Astyanax mexicanus: one gene and its partner. The protein of the gene in region 2 interacts with the protein of the main gene of each other region in a pairwise test. Links are inferred from orthologs where the notes say so. Each region holds a gene or a part of one and is shown on either strand. Other genes may lie near its edges. The genes, in order: rpl23 and protein BCCIP homolog.

Evidence for each region.
Region 1: the proteins of protein BCCIP homolog (region 2) and rpl23 interact in binary tests that used the Homo sapiens proteins (3 or more experiments, as listed by UniProt). The link is inferred for Astyanax mexicanus from reciprocal best matches to the Homo sapiens genes BCCIP and RPL23.

The regions. Positions count from the first base shown.
Region 1 is NC_064426.1:17,150,947-17,161,473, forward strand, and holds rpl23 (60S ribosomal protein L23), read right to left. Parts: upstream 4,939-10,527; 5' UTR 4,847-4,938; coding exon 4,834-4,846; intron 3,148-4,833; coding exon 3,064-3,147; intron 2,446-3,063; coding exon 2,317-2,445; intron 939-2,316; coding exon 825-938; intron 205-824; coding exon 122-204; 3' UTR 65-121; downstream 1-64. Other genes in the region: si:dkey-283b1.7 (brorin), read right to left, coding at 8,911-9,170.
Region 2 is NC_064422.1:13,961,596-13,972,009, forward strand, and holds the start of protein BCCIP homolog, read right to left. Parts: upstream 4,110-10,414; 5' UTR 4,027-4,109; coding exon 3,904-4,026; intron 3,222-3,903; coding exon 3,147-3,221; intron 3,023-3,146; coding exon 2,942-3,022; intron 2,620-2,941; coding exon 2,533-2,619; intron 492-2,532; coding exon 304-491; intron 1-303. Other genes in the region: deleted in malignant brain tumors 1 protein, read left to right, coding at 10,207-10,414. UniProt on the Homo sapiens protein: During interphase, required for microtubule organizing and anchoring activities. During mitosis, required for the organization and stabilization of the spindle pole.

The DNA of each region.
Region 1 (10,527 bases), on a different chromosome or scaffold from region 2:
GCAAAAACTGTTGTAAATCCCAGTAATGAGTCACTGTACATCAATTTACCACAAAGACAAGATGTTAGCCTTTATCAATTTTTATCAATATTTTATTGAAAATATGGAGCCAAGCTGTAATTTAGGCAATGCTCCCAGCATTTGAAGCAATCCTGGGCCACAGATCTGCACACTCCTTGGCCACGGGTCCTGTGATCGCAGAGCCTGGAAGAGAGAAAACAAAAAAATATGTAAAGGTGGACGACAAAAAAGCTTTTACACAAACATACACAGTTCTCTCAAGTATTAAATGTAATATTACCATACAGAAGAGAGAAAAAAAAAAGTACAGAACTTAAGCACTGCCTTTTACACTCAGTGGACAAACAATAAAAGGTGAAAACCACTGGAAGTTGTGTTTTGGTATAGCATTACCAAATTATATTACTTAAAACACACCAGTCAATGTAATTCTACTATTTATTTAAATATACTAAACTAATTCTTTAAAGTCAACATTTTTGAGAAAGTAAAGGTGTACCATCACAGATTGAGATTGAACAGTACAGATATTATAGCTGCCATCTCACCCATTTGCAATGGGATTCACTATTTCCTTCCACAGAAACTCACCCAGCCACTGGGTGGACGGAGCAAGTGGTTTTTAGGAGGAGTTAGGAAAAATATTCAATATTTCTAGGCCAATAAAGCCTTCAACAAATCAATGACACAGAGCCACACAAGTTAGAAAAACCTGCAATGCATACTACTAAATTAACTGAACAGCTCAATAGAACACATGCAAAATGCCTCAAGTAACAGATTTCAAACTGAATTCAACTCACCTTTCATTTCACCCTTGTTATTCACTATGACCCCCGCATTGTCTTCAAAGTATAAGAACACACCATCTTTTCGCCGGTACGACTTCCGCTGTCGAATCACCACCGCAGGATGCACTGCAAAACAAAGACAGACCCATTCATTTTGATGTTTAGTACAAACTAATTGAATCAAGCACAAATGCTCCAAAATAACCCACACCACCACGTTTTTACACATTTATCAGAGAATACTACTTTCATAGTTTAGGATTCCAATCCTTTACATGGTAGTATTTCAGCTCTGAGAGACTGCACCTCAGAGAATTAATAGGAGCACCTAATTTTCATCAACTAAAAATTTAACCAAAAGTACAAAAAAAGCAAGATAATCAAAGACTACATTAAAGACGAAGGATTATTTTAGATCATGTCTTTTTCGATGCAAGTGTGCATGAACCAATTTCACTTTTGTGATAACCTTTTCTTTGAAAAAGACAATATACACTGCAGTGGTGAAAACCTGCAAAACACATTTCGTATTCCTCTGAACACACAGGTTCAGTTTCAGATTAAGTATTTTGGTGCATTCCTAAATGAGTGGTTAAACCACTGTCGGGATGTTACTTCACAAAGCCAGAAGTGACATTTGTTCCAGACAATCTTAGACTCTCCAAAAGAAAGGAGTTTAAAGCCTGCTAAAAGCTTCCTAACAGTTATTACACCAAACAGTTGTTTCGTGTTAAGTGTACCACCACGGATTGAGATTGAACAGCACAGAGAATAAGCTGCCATCTCACCCATTAGCAATGGGATTCACTATTTCCTTCCACGACAACTCACTCAGCCACTGAGCAGACGAAGCAAGTGCTTTTTAGAAGGATTTGTGAGTGCAATACTATAGCTTTATTTGTAAGATGTAAACATGGGTTAGCTGCATAAATATTGGTGGTACTGAGCAACAGAGAAACTTCAGCCTTAAATATTCAAAATGCCCAGCTATACTGTGCCTTGTTGGTATGTCACTAGTTTTAGTAATTGCATCACCTCTGAATACATAGGCTATATTAATTGATGCAACAGTGAAAGTGGCAAAATAGGCACTCACTTTGCAGGTAATTAAAGCCCAGAAATCTTGCACTACACCCTTTCAGTTTAGAGGTGAGGACTGACCAACAAACATTGCTGTGTCTGGCTCTTACTTCACAGGCTAAAGTCTGGTCTAAAATATTCTAGTTAAAATTAGACATTATGATTTGTGACTACACTACCAAAAGTTAAAAATGTGTAAATGGGCAGCAATCAAGTAAAAGTCCAGCTTAACAACAGTGGATTGGTGTGGCGCACAAAAACTTAACACTAGTGCTGCACTGTAAAGGGTACCAAGATCAACAAGTATGCGGGCAGTGAACAATCAACACCAATACATAGAAAGATGAAGCATTTTTAAGCAAAAGTAAATAACTTGTTTGCAATCAGCTGCCTTTATATTCCTTGTATACATTTATATACTCACCCTTTTTCTTGAGCTCTGGTTTGCCTTTCTTCACAGTGGCCATAACCATGTCACCAACACCTGCAGCAGGGAGCCTGTTCAGACGACCCTTGATACCTTTGACGGAGATGATGTACAGGTTCTTGGCACCTAACAAATGTCAAAAACATATGTTTATGTCACAAAAACACTTTACATAAACAGTTATAGGACAATATTTTCTCAAATAGCAAGAGCAGGCTGCTGAATGCATAAGTTCTTTAAGGTGTTCCATCACCGATTGAGATTTAACAGTTACAAACAAAGCTGCCATCTCACCCTTAAGCAATGGGATTTATTATTTCCTTCCACGACAACTCACTCAGCCACTAAACAGACGAAGCAAGTGCTTTTTAGAAGGAGTACAGTAGAGTAATTTTTTTGTTTTACATATTGCCAAAAGTGCTCTTACAGATCCCTAAATAACCCTATATGCAAGGGAGTGTGAACATTTTATTCCAAGACATTTTGGATAATTTCTATTGGTGCCTTCCCTGCACATTTGACAATGTATAACTTCTATTATATAATAATTAAACTACATTGATTTCTCTTTATCCAGCAACAATTCACACTGCAGTGAACAATGAATAGAAGGTGTGACAGCAACAGCAAATGAAAAATAAATGTTAACTAACATCTTACAAAGCAGGGCAACTGTAAAACTATTAAAATCAGCACCCTGTTACAAACAGATTTTATAAACTGGTCAGCAACATGCTGCCTTACCTGTGTTGTCAGCACAGTTGATGACCGCTCCCACTGGGAGACCCAGTGAGATGCGGAACTTGGCTCCAGATGCTCCACCACGTCCTGAAAGAGAGAGATCACCATTTATTTAATCACTGACAGATTTGTTAAGTCAACCAAGCTCACACCACCAAATTCAGTAAATGTAAATAAACGTGTACCTGTAGGTTATGTGCTTGAAAAAAAATTGCTATTGAGTAGATTAAATGTAGACTACATATGAGTAACATACCATACAAGTTAAGCCTCCAAACTGTATAACATTACCTGACGGACTAAATAATAAAATCAGCTCAGAATAAAGAGAGTACATAAACTTAACACTATAAAAGACAGACCAATTTAATGTGCAATTGTTGTAAAAGAATCTTGCCATGTCAGAATGGTACAAAGAGTGGGCGAATGAAACCAGACACCTGAAGAAATTTTTAATGCCTGCCCAAATCTCCCTCACTGCAATATTTTTTTTTCTTACCCCATAGTTATGAAGACGTGTTCAGATTTACATAGCTCATTTGAAGGTGTACCATCACGGATTGAGATTGAACAGTACATTAATTAAAGCTGCCATCTCACCCAAGAGCAATGGGATTTACTATTTCCTTCCACGACAACTCACTCAGCCACTGAGCAGACGAAGCAAGTGCTTTTTAGAAGGATTTATGAGCGTAATACTGTTTCGAAAATATCGCTTAGGTTTATACAAAGATGTACATGTGGGTAAACTGCATACATATTGGTGGTTCTCTAAGAATTAAATTTCAGCTATACACACTCAAAATGCCAAACAATATTGGGTTTTGGTGATATGTCTGCTGGGAGGAAGAAGGTAAAGTGCTGAGAAATTAAATATTTAACTGTAACTTTAGTTATTGCTTTTTCTGAGAAGCAAATAGGTTACACCATGTTATGCAATGGCATAACAGTCTTAATTTATGTAGCTTACTTTTGGTGTTTAAATACCATAGCCTGGTGACATTAGAGGAGTGTTTTTTTCCGCATTAAAAACGGTAAAGAGACACATGCAAGGTATTAAGAAGAAAAAAGTACTTCTAGAAAAAAAATGCCACTAAAGTAATACTCGGCTACACGTGTGTTTTAAATAGTGACGCCTGGCTTCATTCACAACCACAGTACAGAAATGCCAAGCTGTAGTTAGCTAACCTAGCCTAGCTACGCTATCTCTGCAAAGAACCACAATTCCACATCAAACCTGCCACACACAGTCCTTTAAAAGCTAGGAGACCCAGTCTTATCCACAGTATTACCTTTTTATCCAACATCCAGCTTTAGATTAACCATGAGCTAGCTTCATGTAGTATCGTTAGCTAATGCTGTTCTCAACATAACTGCTACTCATACAGCTATTAGCCAGGCTAGGTAACTTTAGCTAGCCCACTTAGCTCCACAACAGACCGTCCACTACATTTTAACTTTGTTTTAACCCAAAATTAACACAATAGACCAAAGTATAAAACATTTATACCATAAAACAGCCGCTGAAAAGCTTCTCAAAACAGGTTTTGGCCTAAAACACCTTCCACCGCTCCCCGCTGAAGAGCCGCCGCTCCGTTCCTCCATCAGCGCCAAAACTTATAAACCATTATCATCAAAATTAAAACTAAAACTGCCTCCATACCGTCCAAACCGAAATCAGAAGGGCTTTGTATTATAGTTAAACATCGCAGTGTGAGTTTAAAGGTGTTATAAAGAGAGGATTAAAGCGGATTCAGAGACAGGCTCGCTCACCTCTCTTAGACATCGCGGCTGGAAAGAGAAAGGAAGGAGGAGAGGGGAGCGCTCGGAAATGACGCTCCGGCTCTCCGCTTTCAGCGCCACGGCGGCCCCTGCAGGCGGAGGAGCGAACTGCAGCATACTCCACTGCGCATGCTCAGACTCCTACTCAACAGTGTTAGTCGGTAAAACCTTGTTTTAGTTGGTCAGCTTCTTGACTCTAATGGAGGTCCATTAAGTTATACTGACCTAATTTAAAAAAAATACTAAAAATTGATATACATATTTGGGAATGTTCTGTTGTGATAAATGTAATTACAACAGGAGTAGCTTTATTGTAAGAGGTTTTCACTGTCATTTTGTCAATCACATGATTGATTGGATATTTATATTGGGAGTGCATGCTTTTTAACACATTGGCTACGAAATAACAAGCAGATAAGGACATTACTTCAGAAAGGGTATTGTAGAGTTTATACTTTGCGAAAAGTGTAAAAGTGAAAAGTTTACCTTTAAAATACTTTGAAATTAATCCATAGAATTTACCCAGTGAAGAATTGTCTTTTAAAATACAAGCCTGATGTGTCAAGTGGTCTGAACTATTACATTTTATTCAAATTCATTGTATTGATTATTTTTCTTTTACTTTCTAAGGTGTACTATTTGTTGTATTTAATTCTGAAAAATCCATTTATGATAAGTAATTACGATCAATCCATCAATCCACCCATATTTTGACGCAATGTAAAGAAAAACAAAAAGATTTGTTTTATGTAAAACAAAACGAAAAAAAGAATGAATGTGTTTTTTTTTTTACACAATATTGGTGATATACGGTGCCAATCATGTAGTAAACAAACCAAAATACTCTGTAAAGCATTTAGGTGCTCTTATATGGAGTGTTGCGGTATGGAATATGGAAACTTGCGGTTTCTGATACTGATGAGAGCCAGTTGCAGTGTAATGTTTCTGATGGTGTTTGCGACTGCACTTGAGGATACTTTTTAAAGTTGTTACAAATTTTCGGATTAACTAACCTTAATTTCTTAAAGTCATTTTTCTTTACTTAGTTGAGAAGTTCTTGCCATAATATGGATTAAAACATTATTTAAATAGGGCTAGTTACTGTATACCAACTTTACCTCTTCACAACACAACTGATTTAAGTTTAAGTAATTAATTTAAGTAATTAACTCTTAGTGAAGCACAGCTGTTAACTGTGAGCCATGCCAGGTGACTCTACCTCATAAAGCTGACTGAGAAAAAAAAGCCAAGGTGTGTAAAGCTGTCATCTAAACAAGAGGTGCTACTCTGAAGAATCTAAAATATAAAACATATTCTGGTTTGTGTCCAAACCTTTGACTGGTACTGTATAACTTTCATGAGTATTTCATATAATTATTTACATGTCTATAAATGTGCATCTTTAATCAATGACAACTTTTCACATTGATATACAGGATGAAAAAGCATATGTATTATATAGTTAATAGTAAATTGCATATAATAATCATTACTTATTAAAATATGCTCAGCATGAACCTCATTCTTTAGGTGAAAATGAAGATGTTTATTTATGTGTAATGCTGTAATATTTACAAATATGATTTTTACAAGCACTGCATGCATGTTGGTCGACACTGTACATTTAGTAATCCCTAAACAACCAAATCAACCGAGTTCAGAAACATGAACACAGAGACATCAGACAAGAAAACAAACAAAAAAAAAAACGGATGATTTCTGAAACTTGAGTGGCTGTATAGGTGCTCTGTTTCTGTTTGTGAAGGACTAGCCCTTTAAGTAACTGGATTCTAAACCCACCAATCCTGTCTGGATAGGGCTTTATATTCACATATTCAGTCTACAGTAAAACTTTTGGAGGTAGGTGTCCATGCACTGAGAAATATGATTATTGACTTCTCTAATATGCTGAGTATGCTGTTTACAAGACGACATCTATATCTCGAATAAGTGCATGTAAACACACTTAATGATTACTTGAATGGGGCTGTATAAGGTGTGGATTTAAGGTAAAACCTCCATTGAGGGGCTTGGTAATCTCAACTCTAAAACAGCTTTGGACCTGCATGCAGAATTTAGGATTCCAAAAAAATTCAACCCCCTGATTCAATACTGGTTTAGGCATGTTCTTATTCACTGTCAATCAGGAAAATCCCAAATGCCAGTCATAAAGTTGCTTAAAATAAAAAAATAATAATATTGCCGCAGTGCTGTAGAATGAACATGAACATAATGAAAAAAAGATAAGTTAACCTCACCAAAATATTAGACTGCCAGTGTGGTAGTTAAGAGGCTTAGACAGATTTAATGCTACAGTGTAAATGCCACGTGTATTGTTTACCACATAATGCAATAGCAGTGATTTTTAAAACACAGCTTAGATCCAGTTCTCTGGGCATGAAGCCGACTACAGAATGATACACAACCCTCAAGGGTCTCTGTTGTTTATCAAGATAAACAATACCAAATGCCCACTCTATAAACAATGTGCTGCATCTCTATAGGGCTTTCTCACACATTTTGGTGCTATATACAGTAGAACAATTTATAAGAAAATAACAAGAAAAAGCAATGTACAAGTAGCTTTTTTTCTTGTATGTAAAGAATGACATAACCGAACAGAAAAAGAAGCGTTTAACCCTGTTGAGACCTGCTGAATTAGAAGGGAACCACGGCGACTTACAAGGGTTGGACAATGAAACTGAAACACCTGGTTTTAGACCACAATAATTTATTGTCCCGACGGACAGTTCTGGTGGAAACAGGAGAGTTGAGGTGCACATTAAATTCTGCATTGATTTGGGCAGCCGTGGTTTTATGTTTTTTAAGATACAATCCGGGTTAGCACCCGAACATCCCTTTCAGACAGCTTCCTCTTGCATCCACAGTTAATCCTGTTGGATGTGGTTGGTCCTTCTTGGTGGTATGCTGACATTACCCTGGGTACTGTGGCTCTTGATACATCAAAAAGACTTGCTGTCTTGATCACAGATGCTCCAGCAAGACGTGCACCAACAATTTGTCCTCTTTTGAACTCTGGTATTTCACCCATAATGTTGTTGTGCATTGCAATATTTATGCAAAACTGCGCTCTTACCCTGCTAATTGAACCTTTACACTCTGCTCTTACTGGTGCAATGTGCAATTAATGAAGATTGGCCACCAGGCTGCTCCAATTTAGCCATGAAACCTCCCACACTAAAATGACAGGTGTTTCAGCTTTCAGATTGGCCAACCCCTGTACCTGTTCCTTACTAATGTCACATAATGCGCCTTATAATTCGGTGCACCTTATGTATGAAAATAGACCAGAAAATAAACGTTCATTGATAGTGCACCTTATAATCTGGTGCGCCTTTTAGTGTGAAAAATACATTAGTCTATACCTTTTAACTAAGTTAAGAACCATGTTTTCATCCAAATGCCTCTTTGACTTTTACTCCTTTGCCTTTATTACAGATCCCTTATAGAACCTATTTCTTAAGAGTGTTGATGCTTCGATTTAACACCCATATTGCTGCAAAGCCAAAACTACACCTTCACGCTTCTACCTGATGGCAATGATCAAAAAACAAAGTTTGATCAAAGTAACAAGAGACCTTTAAATCTTGAAGAATAACTTGTCATTCACGACTGATGGTGGTCCACTAGTTAACTAAACGAATGGGCTGCTGAACAATGGACATCTTAACTCATCAGAAACTCATTTTTACAAGATTGTACTTACAAGTTATGTAAATGTACAATATAGTGAAATCTCATTCGATCACATTTGACCTACTTTTTATTAGTCATCCAAGAGGGATTAACCATTTAACAAACACATTTTTTTTTAAAGGCATGAGTGCTGGAGGCCTCTAATACCCTTGACTGTGAAAGAAATGTTGGATGAGCAGGTGTCTGGATATTTTGGGACAGGTGCATGGCTTCAGCAGGTGTCTCGGCTCAGAGGGAGGTGGAAGAGGTCAGCGTTGGCAGTCAGGCCCAACGCAGGTTGTGTTTACCCTGGCCACGGGCATCTGCCGGACCTCCTGCTTTTCTCTTGGCCTGTCCAAAGAACCCCTGCCCTCATGGGATGACGTCCAGCCTTGGCAACAGCTCCCTCTGCCTCTCTTTCTCTCTCTCTCGCTCCCTCTCTCTTTCTCTCTCACTCTCCTCCATCTGTTTGGATGCATCCTCCTCGTCTGGCTGCTGGCTCGGCTCGCAGGTGGCGTGAGGCTGAGTCTGCCATGTGCCGTCACGGTAAGTGCAGTAGCACACGGTCCGCTCGTCAATCTCCACTCGCTCTCCGGCCGGGATGATGCGGTTTCCAGCGAAGCAGTTTGGACCTTTGAGGAAACACACAGAACATCTGGTCAGTAGGGTTGTAAAAAATTAATACGCCGGAGTATCACAATACTGTTTTGCAATATTATATTGATTTTCACAAAGTAGCAGTTCTGTTTTTTTTTTTGTTTACATGCAGCTTTTAATGAAACCTGCTAAACTTAACATGGCAACTGATAGTAATGGTCAAAGTTTGATTTGTACCTTGACTTGACCCACAATTTTTCAAAACACAGAATATAAGACACTGCTAATTTGCCCTGTTCTGGCCTGTCAAGACATATATCCACAATCAGAGTCCAAATGTGCAGTAAAGATAAAAGACATTTTCCTGAAAAGTGTAATGTTTCAACTATAGCTGGGCAGTTAATGATGATTCAAAACCAACATTCAGAATCTGTAACTAAACTAGACTTTAATCAATCAACCAGTCTATCAATTAACATTGTGGCCAAGTCAATATATATAATGTAGATAGCTTATTTAAGTAATACATTTTTTCTATTAATACTTTTTTAGTGTTAAACATTCTGACGTGTGCATAGTCATTAGGTGCTAACATTTCTAGACATTAAACCAGAAGAAACATGAAAGACTCAAATATCAAGCCAACTGAACAATAAAGGTCCTGCAGACGGTCTATTCAAGCCAGGCTGTCAATCACTTTATATCTTAATACAGTACAATATAGCAGAAAATGAAATACATATTAAAATCTGTCATTATTGGCACAGAGAAAACCAGCAGCTGGAAATAAACACTGGAAATTGAAAGAGTTTTAATGACAAAACATTTTGTAAACCTTTTCAAAAAGCCGCTCTTATGAGATCCTTTGTACCGGAAGAGAGATGAGGACAGCTAAAACTAAATCTCATAAGTTAAATTATGGGTTTATTTTATCTGCACTATTGGCACTTTAAATTACATCCTGTACATCTGCACATCGGGATACTTAAGACTTTTTGCTTAATAACTTTATAGGCACATATTTTCACTGTTCAATGAAAAAAGAGTATATTTCAGGTAATTTTGGAGAAGTTCTATTGGTCCATTCGTCAAGACATTTGTCACAGTGTAAGGGACAGTTTGCCTAATGATAGTAAGATGAGGTAACTGACCACTGGCATACAGTAAGACCCATAAATATTTGGACAGTGACACAATCTTTGTGATTTGGACTCTGCATGCCACCACACTGGACTTGAATTAAAACAAATGAGATGTAATTTAAGAGTAGACTTAAAGTGTAGATTTAATTTAAGGGGATGAACAAAAATATACTATAGGCCTAAAGTGTTTAATTACAAACATTTTTCTACAATTTTTTCCTTATTTCAGGGACTCAAGGTACTGTATTTT
Region 2 (10,414 bases):
AATATTGTGATATAAATTTTACAGTACACAGTATTTATAGCAATATTTTGATATAAGTTAAAATAATCTTCTGCACAGAACAATAAATAATTCAGTCATACAGGATAAATACACTGTCCTGCGTATGCATATTAAAGCACACTGATAATGTGATAAATGTTTTAAAGGTCCTGCAAACACTCCTTTCACCAGGAGAAAATCCTGCTTCTTTTAGCACCTGTGCGCATGTGTGTGTGTACCGACTGTATTAGAAAACCTAAATTATTAAATATAGAATAATTACTGCAGTAAAATTTTACTCACAGTAGCTGTTTGTAGAGAGGCAGGGCGATCTGCGGCGGGACGTTGATGAAGCGTTCGCTGAGCAGCAGCCCGACAGCCTGAGACGAATCGTGCAGAACTTTCTCAAACTGCTCCAACACAGCGGCCGGGCAGAGCTTCTCACACTGACCCAACACCAGCTCCTTCACCTGCTCCACACACTCCAGCCCCTGCCAAACAAACACACGCTCAGTACATCATAATCTACACACTGAAAAACAACAGACTGTGTAAAACCCTGAAGAGACACTGCAGTACAGCCTCCACACAACAGGGGTCACTTAACAGAATAACTTAACTATTTACTCTATAGCACACAATGGTGAGGCAGTCAATAATCTACATTATATAATATACTAATATACCCCTTTCTACTAAATAACCTCCTCACAGCAACCACCTAGGATACCAGAGCAACTGGAAAGCAACACCCAAGTAACTAGCAACAACACCTGTAAAATTAGAGAGACGGTTAAACATCATTTAGCAACACCAGAGCAACCACTATGGCAGGGGTCGGCAATTAAGTTTGGCCGCGGGCCAGATTTTTTCCAAGCCATTACATGGCGGGCCACAAGCACTCGGGGGGGGGGGGTTGTTTGGCGGGCGCGGTGGCGGGAGGGCGCTCTTAAAATGACAAGCAGACATTCAAGTGGGCTGATGTGGGTGAAATCTGTGGACTGACCATTGGGGGCGCTATTAATGATATACCTGTTTGTTAAATAAAAAAAAACAAACGAATAAAAAAAAAAAAAAAAAACAGAACAAAGAAGCTAGCAGTTATCTAAAATCCGTGTATCATTCGTTCATTTGATATTCAATTGAGAATCAAAATCGGAAAATTAAAAAACCAATTCGTTTTTTCGTTTTTTCGTTTTTGAATATAATAACAAAAAACGAATAACGGCTTGTATTTTGTATTTTTATTTGGTTATCCAAACAAAAATTGGAAATTTAAAAAACGGACCAGGAGCCGAATTTGATTTTGATTTTGAACTTGACCCATTTGTGTGCCCCGGAAGTTACTGATTTGTTTATTCTTGGTGGGTTTCTGTTGCGCGGGAGTTCACTGCAGTGTTATCTACACAGTCTGTATTGCTGTAGGCAGCATGGCCGGACTGGAACCACATTCTGGCCTAATTAAAGATCTTTTTGAAGGTGGTAAGACGCATGAAGAGATTTCGTGCACGTTGCAGCAAATGGGGATCCAGCGATGTTCTGCAATAAGTGTTAGAAGGTTCTGTGTTCAACACGACCTTAAGCGAAAAAGACATGTATCGAACACAGAATTGGAGAGGGCCGTTGAGGATGGAGAGTTTTATCTTGTTCAGAGGAACTAAACGCGTTGCAGTGAAAGAAGACGATATGACAACAGAAAAAATCGGCAGGATCTTTCAGGTGTTTGTCTAACGTTCCGTAGCTAAATGTCATATTTAGTAGGCGGCAATTCACAGAATAACATTAACTAAATATGACATTTAGCTACGGAACGTTAGACAAACACCTGAAAGATCCTGCCGATTTTTTCTGTTGTCATATCGTCTTCTTTCACTGCAACGCGTTTAGTTCCTCTGAACAAGATAAAACTCTCCATCCTCAACTCCATCCAAAGCCTACAGCAATACAGACTGTGTAGATAACACTGCAGTGAACTCCCGCGCAACAGAAACCCACCAAGAATAAACAAATCAGTAACTTCCGGGGCACACAAATGGGTCAAGTTCAAAATCAAAATCAAATTCGGCTCCTGGTCCGTTTTTTAAATTTCCAATTTTTGTTTGGATAACCAAATAAAAATACAAAATACAAGCCGTTATTCGTTTTTTGGTATTATATTCAAAAACGAAAAAACGAAAAAACGAATTGGTTTTTTAATTTTCCGATTTTGATTCTCAATTGAATATCAAATGAACGAATGATACACGGATTATCTAACAGCCCGTGGCTCTATCAAAAAATCTTTAATAAATTTTTCTGTTTTGGAAAATTAAGTTTCTAAATAAAGAGCATTTTTGAGACGGACAGTCCGATTTTTTTTTTCGTTATAGTTCAACCTCACGGGCCAGATGTTTCTTGCTTGCGGGCCGCATCTGGCCCGCGGGCCGCCTATTGCCGACCTATGCACTATGGGATCATAGCAATTAATTAGCAACACTATAGCACTAATATATTATTTATTCAAGTGTGTGATATTCAGGGCTGGTGCTCTACCTTCCTCTCCGTCAGATTGACGATGCTGATGAATCCAAACACCTCATCTGGATCCTCATCGTCGCTGTCGTCCGGCACCTCGGCTTGCTGAAAACAGAAAACAAAAAACACAGTATAAAATTTTGATTTCCCCACATGATGAGATCACACAGGTAACCTGGCTTACTACTCCACCTGCTGGGGGTTTACAGAACATCAAGCACCAACAGACCTAACTGTACATCTGACACATAAATGTTACTCAGACTAATATTAATTGTGTCAGAATGAGTGTACCTTTGACTCAAATGTAACATATGATTAGTTTTCTACACCATATAGAGCTGTTAAGTATTGTCTCCTATACTATTAATACTATTTAATAAAAAAAAAATAATAATAATTAACCCAAAATACCAGGTCCACCCACCCTGATCACACTGCCAATGTGATTCTGCTGGATAATGAGGTCTGTCAGCTCAGAGGTGTTGACATGTGCCTTCAGGAAAAGCTGTTGGAGATATATAAATAATAGTCAGTAATCCTCGATTCACTCAAGTAAATTTTCTTTGGTCCATATTCCTTTTAATTCCAGATTAAATAAACGTCTGGTTGTGTTACTACGTTTGGGTTACCTGCTGCATCAACTTCTTAACCCCATTAAAATCGTTATCAGATATAGTGTGAGCTTCAAAATCCACAACAACCTCCTGAAAACAGAAGAAAAGAAAGTTAATGGAACACTAAGTGCTCTGGGTCAGGGTTCACAGGGCTCTAGGTTAGGGGTCAGGGTTCACAGGGCTCTAGGTTAGGGGTCAGGGGGCTCTGAGTTAAGGGCGAAATGTTTCATAACGTTTTATATCAGTGCATATATGAAACAATGCAGACAATCTAATTATTTGTATTAATAATAATAATATTAATATTAATAATAATTATTATTATGATTATGATTATTATTATATTTATTATTATTATTATTAATAACAACAATAACACTTTTTTTGTTGCTTTATAAAAGGAACCAAGCTTTTTTTTTTTACTAAAAGAGTCATTTTAACCAAAGAAACATTTACATTTAAGGTATTTAGCAGACGCCTTTATCCAGAGCGACTTACAACAGTGCTTCGATGTTACTTCAAATATCCATAGCTAGTTTCTAGACTAGACTTTTTTCTGTTGTACCAGAGATAAGCATTGTTTGACCAGTTAGAAGCTGCTTACTCATAAAACACAAAATTCCACCTTAAATCGTACAGTAATGAGCCTATGCAGACGGCAACCCCTATAAAACTGCAGATTTAAGGTGGAGCGGAGAGTTTGGGGAAGAACAGCTTGAGTTTAGCTGGTGAACCTCAGGCCGAGAACTCGCTCCTCTTTATTAATCCTCACCTCATTAATCTCCTCCTCCTCCTCCGACTCCCCGCTCTCCTCCTCTCCGCTCTCCCCGGAATCCCGCTCCTCCTCCGGCTCCTCTCCCGCTCCTACCGCGCGCCGCTTCGCAAATGAGGCCATGCCGCCACTCGCGCAGCTCCAGCCCGCTGAGGAGTACCGCGCGCTCCGCGGACACGCGGTTTAAAGGGGCAGGAAACCGCGCGCGGCTGCTCGCCATTCCGGATCTTACTCCAACCCGGTAATACCGAGCCGAACCGCGGAAACAGAGCCTGCATGGCCGCCTTTTCCTCAGCTCAGGAACTGAAGGTTGCCATTGAAGGGAGGCAAATACAAAATAAAAGTCTTTTGTTTTTTAATGCAATAATATATTTTATATATGTTATGTTTATGTATTTGAACACATTACAGTAATCGTTTAAAAAATATTTACATTTGACTAAAATAATCACTGTTTGCAAATTCAATATTTTTTACATTCGTGATGTCAATCATTGAAAAAAAAATACAAATCACAACATTAATCTTGATATTTGTTTAAATTCTAATATTTTCCTGTTTTTGGAAGGGAGACAAAAATAATAGAATAGTGTATTTTTCATTACAATACCTCAGGGTAATTTTGAATATTGTAGATGAATATTGTAACTTAATGTTCTGAGTTTCTGAGTTTAACAGCATTAATGGAGGAAATAAAGAGCTTTACCTTCAACAACTCCAAACTGAGCATGCTGACCAGTGTTTCACCCCACTCACCAGATAACCACTCACAACTTACAAGTGTGGGCCTTGTGCTGGTAACCTGTGGTTTCTGAGGCTGGAAACACTGATAAACCTTATACAATCTTATACAACAGAGAAAACTCTCGCTCTTCCTTTACTGGGCCGGTCCAGATGAGAGCCAGTTTCATCATAACGTTTTTGAAGGTCAAGTGCAACTGCACTTGAGGATACTTTTAAAGTTCTTAAATTGGCTGACCTTAATTTTTTATTGTTATTTTTTTTTTGTCTTTACTTGATGGGTAGTTGTTGCTTCTCATAATCTGGATTAGAACATTACAACTGATGCTCTCAAACACATTAAGACACAAGAGTTCAGCACAGCTGTTAACTGAAAGCCTGAATTCCAGGTGACTCTACCTCATAAAACTGACTGAGAAAATCCAGCAGAGATGTTCAAAACTGATCATCTAAACAAGAGGAGCTACTTTAAAGAATGTAAAATATAAAACATATTCTGGTTTGTTTAACACTTTATTACTAAATTATTTAATTTTAAAACGACTTTATGGTGTGTCCAGATTTTTGACTTATACTTTTGACTTTGACTTATAAATTATATATTTTTTTATATTAAGGTGTGTGTTGCTGTTTTATAACTATAATATTCAACAATATGACTTTATATATTAAAAAACACAGCTCCACTGTTAAATAGATAATCCAATCCGATCAGAATCGATTCAGAAAGATTCGGAACCTTCAGGAAAGTTCCGTGTCCTTTAAAGACGCGCGCTGCGTCAGACTGCGGTCAAGCCAGCCCCCACTTCAAAACGCTTGGTCAAACTAGCCCCCACGCTGTTTCTTAGAGCGCGCATACACTGAACATTGCGGCAAGCGTGAGAAGGAACACATTTCAAAATATCATGACATTATGCTGTGGAGTGGTATTAAAAGGAATCCACATAATATCACATGTTATGTCTGATATCACATGTCAATTTCATGTAGTCCTGGTAGTACACAAAATAAAAGCCCTGTAAATTATAACAATTATGTTAATTAAATAATAATAATACTAATAATAATAATACTAACAATACTACTACTACTAATAATACTTGTATGTGTCACTCACTTAATAGCAGGGCATTATAATGTGTCATTTCAAAATAAAGGCCCTTTAAATTGTAACATTTATGTAATTTTACACAATGTTTAGACTGTTATTAAAAGAAATCTGTCTGATATCACAGTTCAATTTCAGATAGTCCTGATAGTACACTACTTGTATGTGTCACTCACTTAAAATCATAACATTTTGATGTGTCATTTCAAAATAAAGGCCCTTTAAATTATAACAATATTTTATTTCAACAATGTTTAGACTGTTATTAAAAGGAATCTGTCTGATATCACAGCTCAATTTTATATAGCCCTGATAGTACACCACTTGTATGTTTCACTCACTTAAAATCAGAACATTTTGATGTGTCATTTCAAAATAAGGGCCATTTAAATTGTAACATTTATGTAATTTTACACAATGTTTAGACTGTTATTAAAAGAAATCTGTCTGATATCACAGTTCAATTTCAGATAGTCCTGATAGTACACTACTTGTATGTGTCACTCACTTAAAATCATAACATTTTGATGTGTCATTTCAAAATAAAGGCCCTTTAAATTATAACAATATTTTATTTCAACAATGTTTAGACTGTTATTAAAAGGAATCTGTCTGATATCACAGCTCAATTTTATATAGCCCTGATAGTACACCACTTGTATGTTTCACTCACTTAAAATCAGAACATTTTGATGTGTCATTTCAAAATAAGGGCCATTTAAATTGTAACATTTATGTAATTTTACACAATGTTTAGACTGTTATTAAAAGAAATCTGTCTGATATCACAGTTCAATTTCAGATAGTCCTGATAGTACACTACTTGTATGTGTCACTCACTTAAAATCATAACATTTTGATGTGTCATTTCAAAATAAAGGCCCTTTAAATTATAACAATATTTTATTTCAACACAATGTTTAGACTGTTATTAAAATAAATCTGTCTATCACAGGTCAATTTCATATAGTCCTGATAGTACACTACTTGTATGTTTCACTCAATTAATATCAGAACATTTTGATGCGTCATTTCAAAATAAAGGCCCTTTAAATTATAACAATATTTTATTTCAACACAATGTTTAGACTGTTATTAAAATAAATCTGTCTGATATCACAGGTCAATTTCATATAGTCCTGATAGTACACAACTTGTATGTTTCACTCAATTAATATCAGAACATTTTGATGTGTCATTTCAAAATAAGGGCCATTTAAATTGTAACATTTATGTAATTTTACACAATGTTTAGACTGTTATTAAAAGAAATCTGTCTGATATCACAGTTCAATTTCAGATAGTCCTGATAGTACACTACTTGTATGTGTCACTCACGTAATATCAGAACATTTTGATGTGTCATTTCAAAATAAAGGCCCTTTAAATTATAACAATATTTTATTTCAACACAATGTTTAGACTGTTATTAAAATAAATCTGTCTGATATCACAGGTCAATTTCATATAGTCCTGATAGTACACTACTTGTATGTTTCAATCACTCAATATCAGAACATTTTGATGTGTCATTTCAAAATAAAGGCCCTTTAAATTATAACATTTATATAATTTTACACAATGTTTAGACTGTTCTTAAAATAAATCTGTGTGATATCACAGTTCAATTTTGTATAGTCCTGATAGTACACTACTTGTATGTGTCACTCACTTAATAACAGAACATTTTGATGTCATTTCAAAATAAAGGCCCTTTAAATTGTAACATTTATGTAATTTTACACAATGTTTAGACTGTTATTAAAAACAATCTGTGTGATATCACAGTTCAATTTCATATAGTCCTGATAGTACACTACTTGTATGTGTCACTCACTTAATATCAGAACATTTTGATGTGTCATTTCAAAATAAGGGCCCTTTAAATTATAACAATCTTTTATTTTACCACTAGGTTTAGACAGTTATTAAAAGAAATCTGTCTATCACAGGTCAATTTCATATAGTCCTGATAGTACACTACTTGTATGTTTCACTCACTTAATATCAGAACATTTTGATGTGTCATTTCAAAATAAAGGCTCTTTAAATTGTAATGTTTATGTAATTTTACACAATGTTTAGACTGTTATTAAAAGGAATCTGTCTGATATCACAGGTCAATATCATATAGTCCTGATAGTACACTACTTGTATGTGTCACTCACTTAATAACAGAACATTTTGATATGTCATTTCAAAATAAAGGCCTTTTAAATTATAACAATATTTTTATTTTAACACAAGTTTTGGCTGTTATTAAAATGAATCTGTGTGATATCACAGGTCAATTTCATATTTCATTTCATAATTTAAAGGGCCTTTATTTTGAAATGACACATCAAAATGTTCTGATTTTAAGTGAGTGAAACATACAAGTGGTGTACTATCAGGGCTATATAAATTTGAGCTGTGATATCAGACAGATTTTTTTAATAAGAGTCTAAACATTGTGTTGAAATAAAATATTTTTTATAATTTAAAGGGCTTTTATTTTAAAATGACACATCAAAATGTTCTGATAGTAATTGAGTGAAACATACAAGTAGTGTACTATCAGGACTATCTGAAATTGAACTGTGATATCAGACAGATTTCTTTTAAAAACAGTCTAAACATTGTGTAAAATTACATAAATGTTACAATTTAAATGGCCCTTATTTTGAAATGACACATCAAAATGTTGTGATTTTAAGTGAGTGAAACATACAAGTGGTGTACTATCAGGGCTATATGAGATTGACCTGTGATATCAGACAGATTTCTTTTAATAACAGTCTAAACATTGTGTAAAATTACATAAATGTTACAATTTAAAGGGCCTTTATTTTGAAATGACACATCAAAATGTTCTGTTATTAAGTGAGTGACACATACAAGTAGTGTACTATCAGGACTATATGAAATTGAACTGTGATATCAGACAGATTTATTTTAAGAACAGTCTAAATATTGTGTAAAATTACATAAATGTTATAATTTAAATGGCCTTTATTTTGAAATGACACATCAAAATCTTCTGATATTAAGTGAGTGAAACATACAAGTAGTGTACTATCAGGACTATATGAAATTGACCCGTGATATCAGACAGATTTCTTTTAATAACAGTCTAAACATTGTGTTGAAATAAAATATTGTTATAATTTAAAGGGCCTTTATTTTGAAATGACACATCAAAATGTTACGATTTTAAGTGAGTGACACATACAAGTAGTGTACTATCAGGACTATCTGAAATTGAACTGTGATATCAGACAGATTTCTTTTAATAACAGTCTAAACATTGTGTAAAATTACATAAATGTTACAATTTAAATGGCCCTTATTTTGAAATGACACATCAAAATGTTCTTATTTTAAGTGAGTGAAACATACAAGTAGTGTACTATCAGGTCTATATAAAATTGAGCTGTGATATCAGACAGATTCCTTTTAATAACAGTCTAAACATTGTTGAAATAAAATATTGTTATAATTTAAAGGGCCTTTATTTTGAAATGACGCATCAAAATGTTCTGATTTTAAGTGAGTGACACATACAAGTAGTGTACTATCAGGACTATCTGAAATTGAACTGTGATATCAGACAGATTTCTTTTAATAACAGTCTAAACATTGTGTAAAATTACATAAATGTTAAAATTTAAAGGGCCTTTATTTTGAAATGACACATTATAATGCCCTGCTATTAAGTGAGTGACACATACAAGTAGTATTATTATTAGTAGTAGTATTGTTAGTATTATTATTATTAGTATTATTATTATTTAATTAACATAATTGTTATAATTTACAGGGCTTTTATTTTGTGTACTACCAGGACTACATGAAATTGACAGGTGATATCAGACATAACATGTGATATTATGTGGATTCCTTTTAATACCACTCCACAGCATAATGTCGTGATATTAAGGGAGGGACTTTTATTTTGAAATGTGTTCCTTCTCACGCTTGCCGCAATGTTCAGTGTATGCGCGCTCTAAGAAACAGCGTGGGGGCTAGTTTGACCAAGCGTTTTGAAGTGGGGGCTGGCTTGACCGCAGTGCAAAAAGCCTGCAGTGTGTGGAGCGGTAGAGCTTAGATCGGGCCCAAAAATCCAGCCCGACCCGGCCCAAATCCATGCACTTTCTGCCCGAGCCAGACCCGACCTGAGCCATAAACTGTCCTTCTGAACCCGAGCCATTTTTTAGTAATTAGAGCGTTAAAATTGAGCTATTTAAAACATTTTCGGGCTGTTTGAATTAGCGAAATCTGTTAAGAATTATAACCTTGCGACGCTGAAGAAGCATAGACCTATTATTATTTCTTTTTTTTATTCGCTTCTTTCTTTATTCCTTGTCTGTTGTACAGGCAGTGTGAGGTTGGTGGATGGTGGCAGTCGCTGTGCTGGGAGAGTGGAGGTTCTTCATAGAGGGCAGTGGGGAACAGTGTGTGGTGATGACTGGGATATGAGTGATGCTGCAGTGGTGTGTAGAGAGCTGGGCTGTGGAGAAGCTGTAGATGCACTGGGCAAATCTCATTTTGGATCAGGATCAGGACCAATCTGGATGGATGATGTGGACTGTAGTGGATCAGAGTCTAGACTGAAGAACTGTAGATCACCAGTATGGGGTAAACATGACTGCAATGAAACCCACAATTCTGGAGTCATCTGTT